Linked DNA regions of Neodiprion lecontei. The protein of the gene in region 1 interacts with the protein of each later gene in a pairwise test. Links are inferred from orthologs where the notes say so. Each region holds a gene or a part of one and is shown in the gene's direction. Other genes may lie near its edges.

Region 1 (4,861 bases):
TTTCCAAACTGCTTCCATTCAAATATTTTGTGTCAATCTGCAAGGTCTAACTGGTCTAACTTTTCAGTTTGTCCGAAAAAGATCGGCTCCGCTTCGAAGAGAGAGCTATTGAGTCAGGGATGAAAGCGCATGCGCACTGACCTTGTTTCTATTAACTTGCCATTGTTAAGCTAACGATAAGAGAGCAAGCAGCATAATCAAAAATTTCTGACGTAGGAGACACAGAGTACCTCTAAGTTGGGCACAATTCAGAACCACAAAAAATTTAAATTAATGTTAAATAAAACTTTATTGTATTTTGAATGGTTTCGAAAATTCTGAGAACTAATTTTTAGTTGAAGATTAGAAGATATGATAATAAGAAACTTCTATAATATCATAACTTTTCGAAATATTTGTGCGAGCTTTCCATAAAATATATATCACTCAGAAAATGGGAAACGTAAATTAAGTTTTAAGTCATTGATATCTCATGATTTTGAATAATCTGTTTGCTTGCATTTTTGTATGAAGCACCAGCGACGTTTATTATGTGTATATTTACGCCCAACCCTACACAGATTCGAAAAACTTCTAAATGACGATTACCTTTTTTGAGCTGCTTACAAGGCATCTCTTTCAGCGATTTCAGTGATCTCTTTCCAACCAGTATAGTGTATGGAGATTTCGACGATGGCTAAGTTAAACGCGGCCTTGGGAACCGTAGTGCCTATTCCAGCATTCAACTCACGCGAAGATTAGATAATTCACCAACGTACAGGATGTTTCAGTAAAATACTGATAACAATCAATGATAAAAGCTTCGAATCTGTTGTTGTTTATTTCTATAGAGATATTTTTGAAACGTACAATTTTTGCTCTGTTAAATAATAGCATCGTGAGATGGATATAGAAAAATTAGTCAACAGGTAGTCCTTACGTAAGTCTTGTCTGTGTAAAATAGATAAATTATAATTTAATGCTGTATTTTCATGAAGACACAATATCATTTTCAATATATATTGTGACATAATATAGTCATACACATAATAAAACCTCACACATTAACGGTAAACAGAAATATGCCAGTAATTCGACAAATATCTAGAGATAGTGACACTTTTGAAACTCGGTGTTTACCTACTCATCGTCAGTCAAAAGTACCTAACTTGTAGTTACGCGTGTGTACATAACATACTATGATGTAGAAAATTAGGCTAATTGTAAAACGGCGTATAACTATACATATTTATACGTATTAAACTGCAGAGGAGAGATGACCGCCCACAACAATGTAGGCCGATATGAGAATTTCATTGAGCCCACGTGAATGCCTACCAAATAATATGCAATGACGTGATAATAACAATAACAGCGAATTCCAAAATCGTTGATTAATTGAATCGCTCGTTGCTTGTCAATAGTGTACATTTGTTATCTCACAAAGTAGAATAGAATTAATGAAATGGGTTAAAAGTAGATGAAACAAATTTCCACTCAACGTCTTAGTATTATTTCTTTTTTTTTTTTTTTTTGTGTTCCGCAAAGACACGATGCTGTGGGTGGGTTTCTTAATGTAAGCACAGCTGCCTGTACGCTTATATTGTACCACCATCGTTGGCCATGAAGTGGCCGGGGGCTCAGCACCAAACGAACTTTCGTATTGGTGCAGAAGGAGAAGAAAATGCTAAGAAACGATTCATTCGTACCTGCGCGACGAGGCCATAAAGCCGTGTATTACTACCTGAATCACCAACACAAACCGGCAACATCGAGTTACTCGGTATAGTTTGCATTGCGGCAGTCAGTAAAGTCCGAGGCTTCAAGCGATCGACATCAATATGCGGATAATGTCGTAATACGTCGCGTAAAAACTAGTATTTGTACTAATGCGGTGTGACTTCTGATCGGAGGACCAAAAATGGCGTTTTCGTTTACCGCAAATTTGTTATTTTAGTTCGCGCCTTTGTAAATATCTCCTACCGCGGTATATCGACCTGTTGAATTTGTTATTGTGTGCGGCAGTGTCGTGACAATTATACGCAAGGTGATTATGGTCAAGTTTCACGATGCATCATGCATATTCATGAACATTATACCTACAGCGCATCGAATTAATCTTCCACCTTAAGTCATTTCTATATTGAGTTTATTGTGTACATACTATTATCACCGCCAACCTGCCGATGCTCACTTGTACGTGTATCCGTGTAACCTACGTATTCATCAGAACACATATGAAAGTCACACCTGGTATGGAGATGAAGAAGCGGAATGACAAGACCGTGTACTGTAAACGGTCCGATACACCCAGTCGGAATGCCGGGGATTTGATATCACAAAAATTAAGCATCGTAGCTTACTCAAAAAATTTGAACAAAAAATTTATTGTACTGGAGAATAATTCGTATTTTGAATCATACTTGTTTATATTTAGGTACTTGTTTCATTGTGCCATGGGCAATAACAGCTTTGCTAATTTCTATGATTATCAATCGCAATTTTCTCACGGTAATAATAGTGGGGAATAGTAACAATTACAAATGCCCGCAAATTTTCTTCGGGAGAATGCCAAATGAATGAGTGTTGGTTGTTCCGACATATTTTGGTGTGCAGAATACGATTATAGCGTCACGTGTTTTTCGGATTGAAAAATTGCATTTTTTAACTCGTATTATCTTCCAAACCGCTCCACAAAGTAATTTATGTTATGTACCAAGACCTATAGAATGACGTACTGTTTAAAAATAATTTTTATCACGCCTATAAATTTTTTTTATTTTCTATTATAACTCCATCTTTATTTACAATCTGTCTGGGTAGGCAATAGACTGAATTATATATACATCATTAAAGAGTGACATGGAGGTACATCTCCAATGATCAGTACCATTAAACGATATTTACATATTTTATATTAATCAGACTATTATCAATTAGTTACATTATTGTGCACCTTCGGAATCAATTTATATTTTTATTAAGATGGAGACTTATATTTTTTGAATCTTGAAGCACTAGAGGTTTGTTTTAGTAGTTTTCTAGCATGACGATTTGGATGTTAGTATAATTTATCCTTGTATCTTTGGGAGAAAGTTTGCACTTCTTGTTTCACTGATGATGTATTTGTATCTTTCCTTACGCCTATAAATAGCCATAAAAGCTATTTTTAGCCCGAACATTTGAAATTTTTAACATTAGTCAAGATCTACATATATTTTTTTCCATCTGAGGTAATTCTAACGTGTGGAGGGTATTTTCATTTGACTCAAATAATGGCAAGTGGTGTACTTTGACATAAGAAAACCACATTTTTAACCCTTAGCATTATTGCAATAGATATGCATGCTATTATAATAACATGTCAAAGTATATCACTTAAGCTGCTATTTGAGTCAAATGGAAAATATAAAATTTTCTGCATGAAATATTTTTTTGTGGCTATTTATAGATGTGACAGAATTTAAGAAAAATTGCACGTCATTCTATAGTTCACAACATAAATTTTTTTCATCATTCTTTATTAAGCAGTTTTGGATATAATACGAGTAAGACAGTGGAATTTTTGCCAAAAATTTATTTATTTATATATTTTGTATCAATGGGAAAAGCCCAACTACAACGATATAAAAACTATAGTGATCAGCGTGTTTGGTCGCCACTAATAGAAACACAATGAGGAACATAATGCTTTAAATTCTTAGATTTAATTGCGTAAAGCTTCAGTTGCATTCAAAATATATATAGATTTCTTCTTAACATAGTAAAGATTTGGCTTGTAAATATCAAGCCCATCAGCGTGTCTGTTACAAAAATCGGCGAGTCGTATTGATGGTGAAACGAGCAAAAAATTGGTATCCGATACAGAATGAAAAAATTAATGATTATGATATCTTAAAGATCTATTTGGAATGTGGAAGTTGAATTTTGATAGCACTTTGCTGCAATCGATAAAGTTGTCGAGAAGCTTGCAAGTGAAAATTACATCCTTTCTCTCTGTCTGTTTTATTTGAGGCCAGATATTTTGATAAGTTCCTGGATAATGCTATATTGGCCAATTTTAACGGCCACATAATGAAGGTATTAGTGGTTAAGTTTCTTTAGATCGTATATGACGTAGTGTAATTTCGGTCTCCAAATCAGAGATCAGAAAGTTAAGACAGGGTAAGTGTATGAGTAATAGAAGCTTCTGAAAGCGTCAAGATTGGTGAATTTCTTTGTAAATCTCTTAATAATGCATATGGTTCTGCAAACTTTAATTTGGATGTGTTCAAAATGAAATTTCAAGGAAAGTTTATTTTGCTTATTGTTATTAAGTTTATTTTTTTATGATGAAGCATTTTTTACTATTGCACCACAAACCATCACCACAACAAAAATGCAATTTTGTGATGGAAATATTTCGAAAGCCTGACGTGATAAAAAAAAAGCCAACACCATCATATTCACCGTACCAGAATACACTGGAAACACACTAACTCGTCTATTTAGCATTTTCTCAAAACAATATTGCAGGGCTATGTTGTAGATTGATTTTATGATCCGCTATGATGTAAGTCTCCTTCCCATTACAAAACTGCGACAACGTTTAATTGTCTGTAATATCTTTTTTTCTTACCGTGGAAGTAATATGTCAAAGTATTTCAGAAATGGAGTAAAATTTATGTTTTCGATTGATTTTTACAAATTTTGGTAAGATTTTGCCTCACTTAATCACTGCGTTACTATTGTAGTGTCGTATAACTAATGAAACTATCTAAGAACTTCATCATTTTTTCGAATGCACAAGTAGAAACTCGCTTCAATTATTTTTACGACTTATTTGACACCACAAAGACATAGCATTTTGCACATATGAATGTATTTTTAAGATGTCTTTGCA
Region 2 (5,391 bases), on another chromosome or scaffold:
ATAAAATTTGGTTTGTCATTAAACAAACAAAATGTTTGATAACAGACTTGGTCGAAAGTTCTCTATATAGAGATATATTCATCAATTTCAGTACATTTGATTTTGAATTTGTTCTGCTTTCAATGAGTTGATGATCATGCTACCTCAAGTTTGCGAATATTGATTATTTAGTTTTATCAACTTTCTAGTAGCGTATTTTGCCCACTTGACCGATGAACTGGCGTAAGGGTTATCAGTTTTCAGATCTTTATGTTGAAATATACCAGGTCTTTTCTTGATGAGTAATGATGCAAGCTTAGAACAAAAAGATTGATTCTCACGAATGTTCAAATGACGAAAAATATCTTCAAACAATATTCTCGCCCATTTCCACGAGTACTGAGGTTTCTCTTGCTGCATGTAGATATCCAAAAAATTAATCAGCCGCTCGTAACTCTCCGTATCCTTTTCACTGTTGGCGATAAATGAAAGCAATTGTTTTTCCTCAATATTTTTGTATAGTAACTTGACATCAAGAAACATGGTCACTAATCCAATTCCATTGCCTTCCATGAATTTAAGACACCCATTCTGAAGAATTTGTTTAGCAAATAGAGCAGATTCAGATTCACCACCTTCAATCATAGTTTTTGTGTACTCAAATATTAATAAATGAAATAGATTACGAGCCTTATTCTTGCGATTCTTATTCAGAGCATCTGACGCCAATTTTAAGCAATTTGCCGAAGGTGCGACTAAAGCAACAGTGAGGTTGATGTCGGGAAACAAGCAATCAAATATTTTCCAAGCTTTATAGGGAAAGTATTCTTTGACGTGCGACTCTTTCCTGACTATCAGTTGCATCAGTATTAGAGCAAAGAATCCAAGTACAGTCCTGAGCTTGTAACTGGCAGAACTATGCATATCGTTATCAGTGGCTTTTAAAAGAATTAAATTCTCTTTCAGCCAGTTGTGAAAAGCAAAAACATTGGCTTTGACGTCACAATCAAGATCATCCACAACAGGATCTTTAATTACGTGTTTGTCAGCCTCAACGGCCGTAGGAATCTGTGCTGTTTCGATCGCTGAATCGAACACATTTTTGAGCAGTAATTCATTACATGTGCCAAGTGGAAACATGAGAAGTACATTTCTGATAATAATGTTAATTTCTTCTGGTTCAATCTTGTCATCTGAGAACCAAAGATTTACAAATCTTACCAAGTGTCCTTCAATATCATTTTCTGGAATTTCTTTCCATACACACAAACTCAACGCCTCGGAGATACAAAATTCATCAGTCCACCCAACCACTGGATCTGGGAACCAACTATTCTAAAAAAAAAAAGGAGAAAACATCGTTATCTTAGTGCAACGCATAAACCGATGTTGTTGAGTTAAATAATACATTGAATAAAGATCCTTGGAGGTATTTGATTGCATGGATTCTTTCTTTCTTTTCCAGAATTTTTCTGCTGTTATTCAAATTACCTCATTACCGGTGTCCAATAATGAAAAAAAAAAAAACACAAGAATTCACATTATAAGCCAATGAGCAAGTCAGTGAACACAGAACACTGTGTTGACCTCGGCCACGGTCTGTGACCTAGGCTAACCATGCTTTTCTACACACTTCAAAATGATCCACATGTCTTGTCGTCTTCAACAATTCTTTGGTCGATGTATCTTTTCAGACCCATAAGATTGCGCAACTTACATATTCCGCAACGATGGCTTCGATATCAGTATGGTTCTTGAATATTTTCCAAAGATCGTCATCAGAACCAGCCTTGCGCAGTTCAGCTTTCGAAAAATCGTCCATGGTTTCAACGACTCTGATCACGGTCTTCAATCATGCAGGCAATTGTCGGCATAAAATTAGTTTTGTTCACAAAATTACGGATGATCCGATTTTGAAGGCTATGTCAACTGGGGGCGAAATCCCAGCGCCGATGGTGATTTTTGACAAAATTTTTTACCAGTAAGCGACCGACCCCCTCCCAAAGACTGTTAAGCACTGCTAATAATAAATGTTCTCGGGAGTTCACTCATCCTTCTCACGACTAAGATGTGAATAGTTCCAAAATATTCTGCCAGATGACCTAGACGTCTAGTTTCCTGCAAACAGAGATGGCTCTCTACTTATTTACGGCAAGTAGATAGACGTTAAAGAAAAAGGCAATTGCCTGAATTCACAATTTTAAAGTTTCATACTGACGCAAAACCTTATGAAACAGAACTTTTCTACAAACTGCAAAATGACGGTAGAAGTGTTGAATGTTTCGAAGCAAATTACAACGACGTCAGTCGAGGTAACCAATCAGGCGCCATTGGTCTGATCGAGGTAACCTCATCACCAAGTATATCAATCTTGCTCAAGGGCTGCTTTTTTGTCACGCAACAGCTGATATCCTCAAGTAATTAAAACCTAATTTTGGTAATTTTTGCTGCTGTAACGTTTATTCTACCTGTGATAAAATAAAATAGAATAAAATAAAAAAACTAAAGCATGTATCAAGTTCGATGAAATTTTGTTAGCCGAGACGCTATTATCTAAGGTATGTAATGAATAAGCAGATAACGATTTCGTTGGTAAACAAACGTGACAAATTTTCATATCGTTAGAAACTACATCCATCTCGATGTTATGATTAATTCTTCGTAATTCCTTGATTGCTAATGACATCATTGTACTTTTAGGTCTTTTAGCCAACCTAAACAGTTAGCTTATGTACTAATTAGATATTCCATGAATCTGAATTAACCTTTTATCTAGGGATCAAAGCTCAAGGATGGGTAACGCAGGCAGCCATGTTCCTGGACATCATAGTAGTAGCGTAGTACGAGAAAGTCATCACAGACATGGCAAGGATCATCCACCTTCCTCCCCTGGAAAAGATGGACAAGCTTTTATTTTTGACAAAAAGCCAAGTCAAAAGCTAGTCTTTCAATCGTCTCACGACGAGGAAGAGCCTTATTACACAAAGGTGTGATTAATAATTTTATCATTTGACAAATAGTTACTTGAAAACTACACTTATTACTGCGCACGGATCTTTGATTTTGATTAAATTTTATGATTATGAACAGCTTTTTTTGAATATGATAGTTATGAACTTTAATAACAAAGTAAAACTCAAATAGATTCCACTTTCACGGCCTCACCTCAGTGTGAAATTCCTTCTAGCAAATTAACTACGTTTATTCTGCTTCTATGTAATACTTGCTTTTCAGTCTGTAAAAGAATATAAAATTAGTATTTCTTTGTGTCCTGACCAAACATAAAACTCAACAAGTTGAATAAAGATACACATGCCATGTATAATCGTGATACCAATTTGGTATGGGCACTGAACCGCTAAGTATTGAACAGGCTGGTCCAGGAGATGGGGACAACTTTGGACCTGGGCGTCCTCGTTCAAATACAGTATCTGAGGGAACCAAAGTTTCCGATAGCAAAGTATTACCGACTGTGTTCAAATGGGAAGGAGGTGGTAAACAAGTATATATCAGTGGTACTTTCACGGAATGGAAAACATTACCAATGGTTAAAAGCCACGGAGATTTTGTGACGATCATCGATTTGCCCGAGGGTGAACATCAATACAAATTCTATGTAGATGGGGAATGGAGACATGATCCAGGATTGGTGAGTTGGAAGACAAATCAATTTTAATATCAATATATATCAAGAGCTGATAGTTGGAATAAAAATTACTACTTTCATAACACGAAGGCTACAAATTATCCTCATCTAAGGCCAGTTTGTCGATGGAATAGATATTAGGAGAGTTGTTTGGAAACAGCTGTGAATTGATTTCTATGTATTGACTCTTCCTAATATTGCAAAATAGCCTTGTTGATATTATATAATACCTGTTTCATTCTTGTGTTCTATTCTGTTAATTTAAAAATTACAGAAAATCGTTGACAACGGTTTGGGATCAAAGAATAACCTTGTCTCAGTGAAACAATCAGATTTCGAGGTCTTCCAAGCGCTGGCAAAAGACAGCGAAGGAATAATTAGCAGTGCTCAGACAGAATACAGTCAAGAGATTCCGCCAAATAAGCCTTGGGAAAAAGTTGCTGGCCCTCCAGTCTTGCCACCACACTTATTGCAAGTTATTTTGAACAAGGACACTCCCATGTCTGTCAGTATTAACATCTAGCCTTTAATACGCATAAAATTTTAGTAAGTTTTCTTTTTTCACTTACGCATATTTATTCGTTCCTAAATTATACCTTTCAGTGTGAACCAACGCTTCTACCTGAGCCAAACCACGTTATGTTGAATCACCTTTATGCCTTGAGCATCAAAGACAGTGTGATGGTTCTTTCGGCCACCCATCGTTATCGCAAAAAATACGTTACAACTCTACTCTACAAGCCTATATAATATTTCTTTTCTTTCTCATTCCTCTGTAAAAAAGTTGCTATAGTTTCGTTTCATTAAAGTATGTTAGTTTCTGTCAAGAAATACTTACAAAAGATTTTTCGCTTACATGTCAAATAACAGAACATTAGTGATTGTCTATAACGACATTTGATTAAAGTGATTACCCTCGATCCTCTTTAGCTTGTAATATATTGTACCTTACGTATCTGTTGAGTATTGTAACTATTATTTATTAAAATCAAAAGTTTCTCGAATTGTTCACGTCGATAATGTAATCCGTAAGTCGATCTTGTGAATTTTGTGAATTAATATTGAAGCATGAAAAATGGTGCATTCGTTTATTGTACAGTAATGTAAGAATATTGTGGGAAATGTATCGACTATTGATAAACAAAAAAGAAACGCGAGAGAAAAATAATAATAAAAAATTATAAGAAAACGTTAATTTACATAGTGACGAAGTTTTCATTATAAATTTTCTCTGATCACCTTATAGTTTAGCGATATTTATTGATTACAATCACATTACACACGCGCATGAAATTTCCAGCAAAAAAATGCATTACGTGAAATAGGTATAACATTTAAAACGATGCATTTGTTACTGTGTTACATGTTATACTCCGTCCAGACTAGACAAGCATTAGTTTTGGGATGCTTCGCGCAACTATGGATCAAACTTCATTTTGAGTGACTTCCGCAGCATAACCATAAGGCTTCTCGTGTCTAGTTTGCAAAAAGTAAGAGCCATTCGTAGAAGGATCGGTGTGAGCTCCCATGTACGCGACATCAGAATCAGAGCATTTTTTCCCCATGTAATGGTCCCAGTCGGAACATCTTGTGGCCGGAAACCCGTTTTTTATAATTATACTCTCGATAAAATATTCGTAAGATCTTCCGTGGCTGCAGGCCTCTGAAATCCATAATTTTTACATCGTCAGTTTTATTCCGGAAATTTTCCATCTAAATCACTACTAATTGCCTCACCCAACAGCTCTGGAATGCAGCAACATCCG

What was found.
Region 2: the proteins of filamin-A (region 1) and 5'-AMP-activated protein kinase subunit beta-1 interact in a two-hybrid assay, tested with the Drosophila melanogaster proteins (2 studies listed by BioGRID). The link is inferred for Neodiprion lecontei from reciprocal best matches to the Drosophila melanogaster genes jbug and alc.

Annotation. Positions count from the first base shown.
Region 1 is NC_060261.1:13,535,815-13,540,675, forward strand, and holds the start of filamin-A, read left to right. Parts: upstream 1-1,786; 5' UTR 1,787-2,026; intron 2,027-4,861.
Region 2 is NC_060262.1:36,525,773-36,531,163, reverse strand, and holds 5'-AMP-activated protein kinase subunit beta-1, read left to right. Parts: upstream 1-2,040; 5' UTR 2,041-2,130; intron 2,131-2,136; exon of another isoform or gene 2,137-2,537; intron 2,538-2,755; 5' UTR 2,756-2,771; coding exon 2,772-2,966; intron 2,967-3,352; coding exon 3,353-3,628; intron 3,629-3,899; coding exon 3,900-4,130; intron 4,131-4,228; coding exon 4,229-4,375; 3' UTR 4,376-4,820; downstream 4,821-5,391. Other genes in the region: pancreatic triacylglycerol lipase-like, read right to left, coding at 5,050-5,288, 5,363-5,391.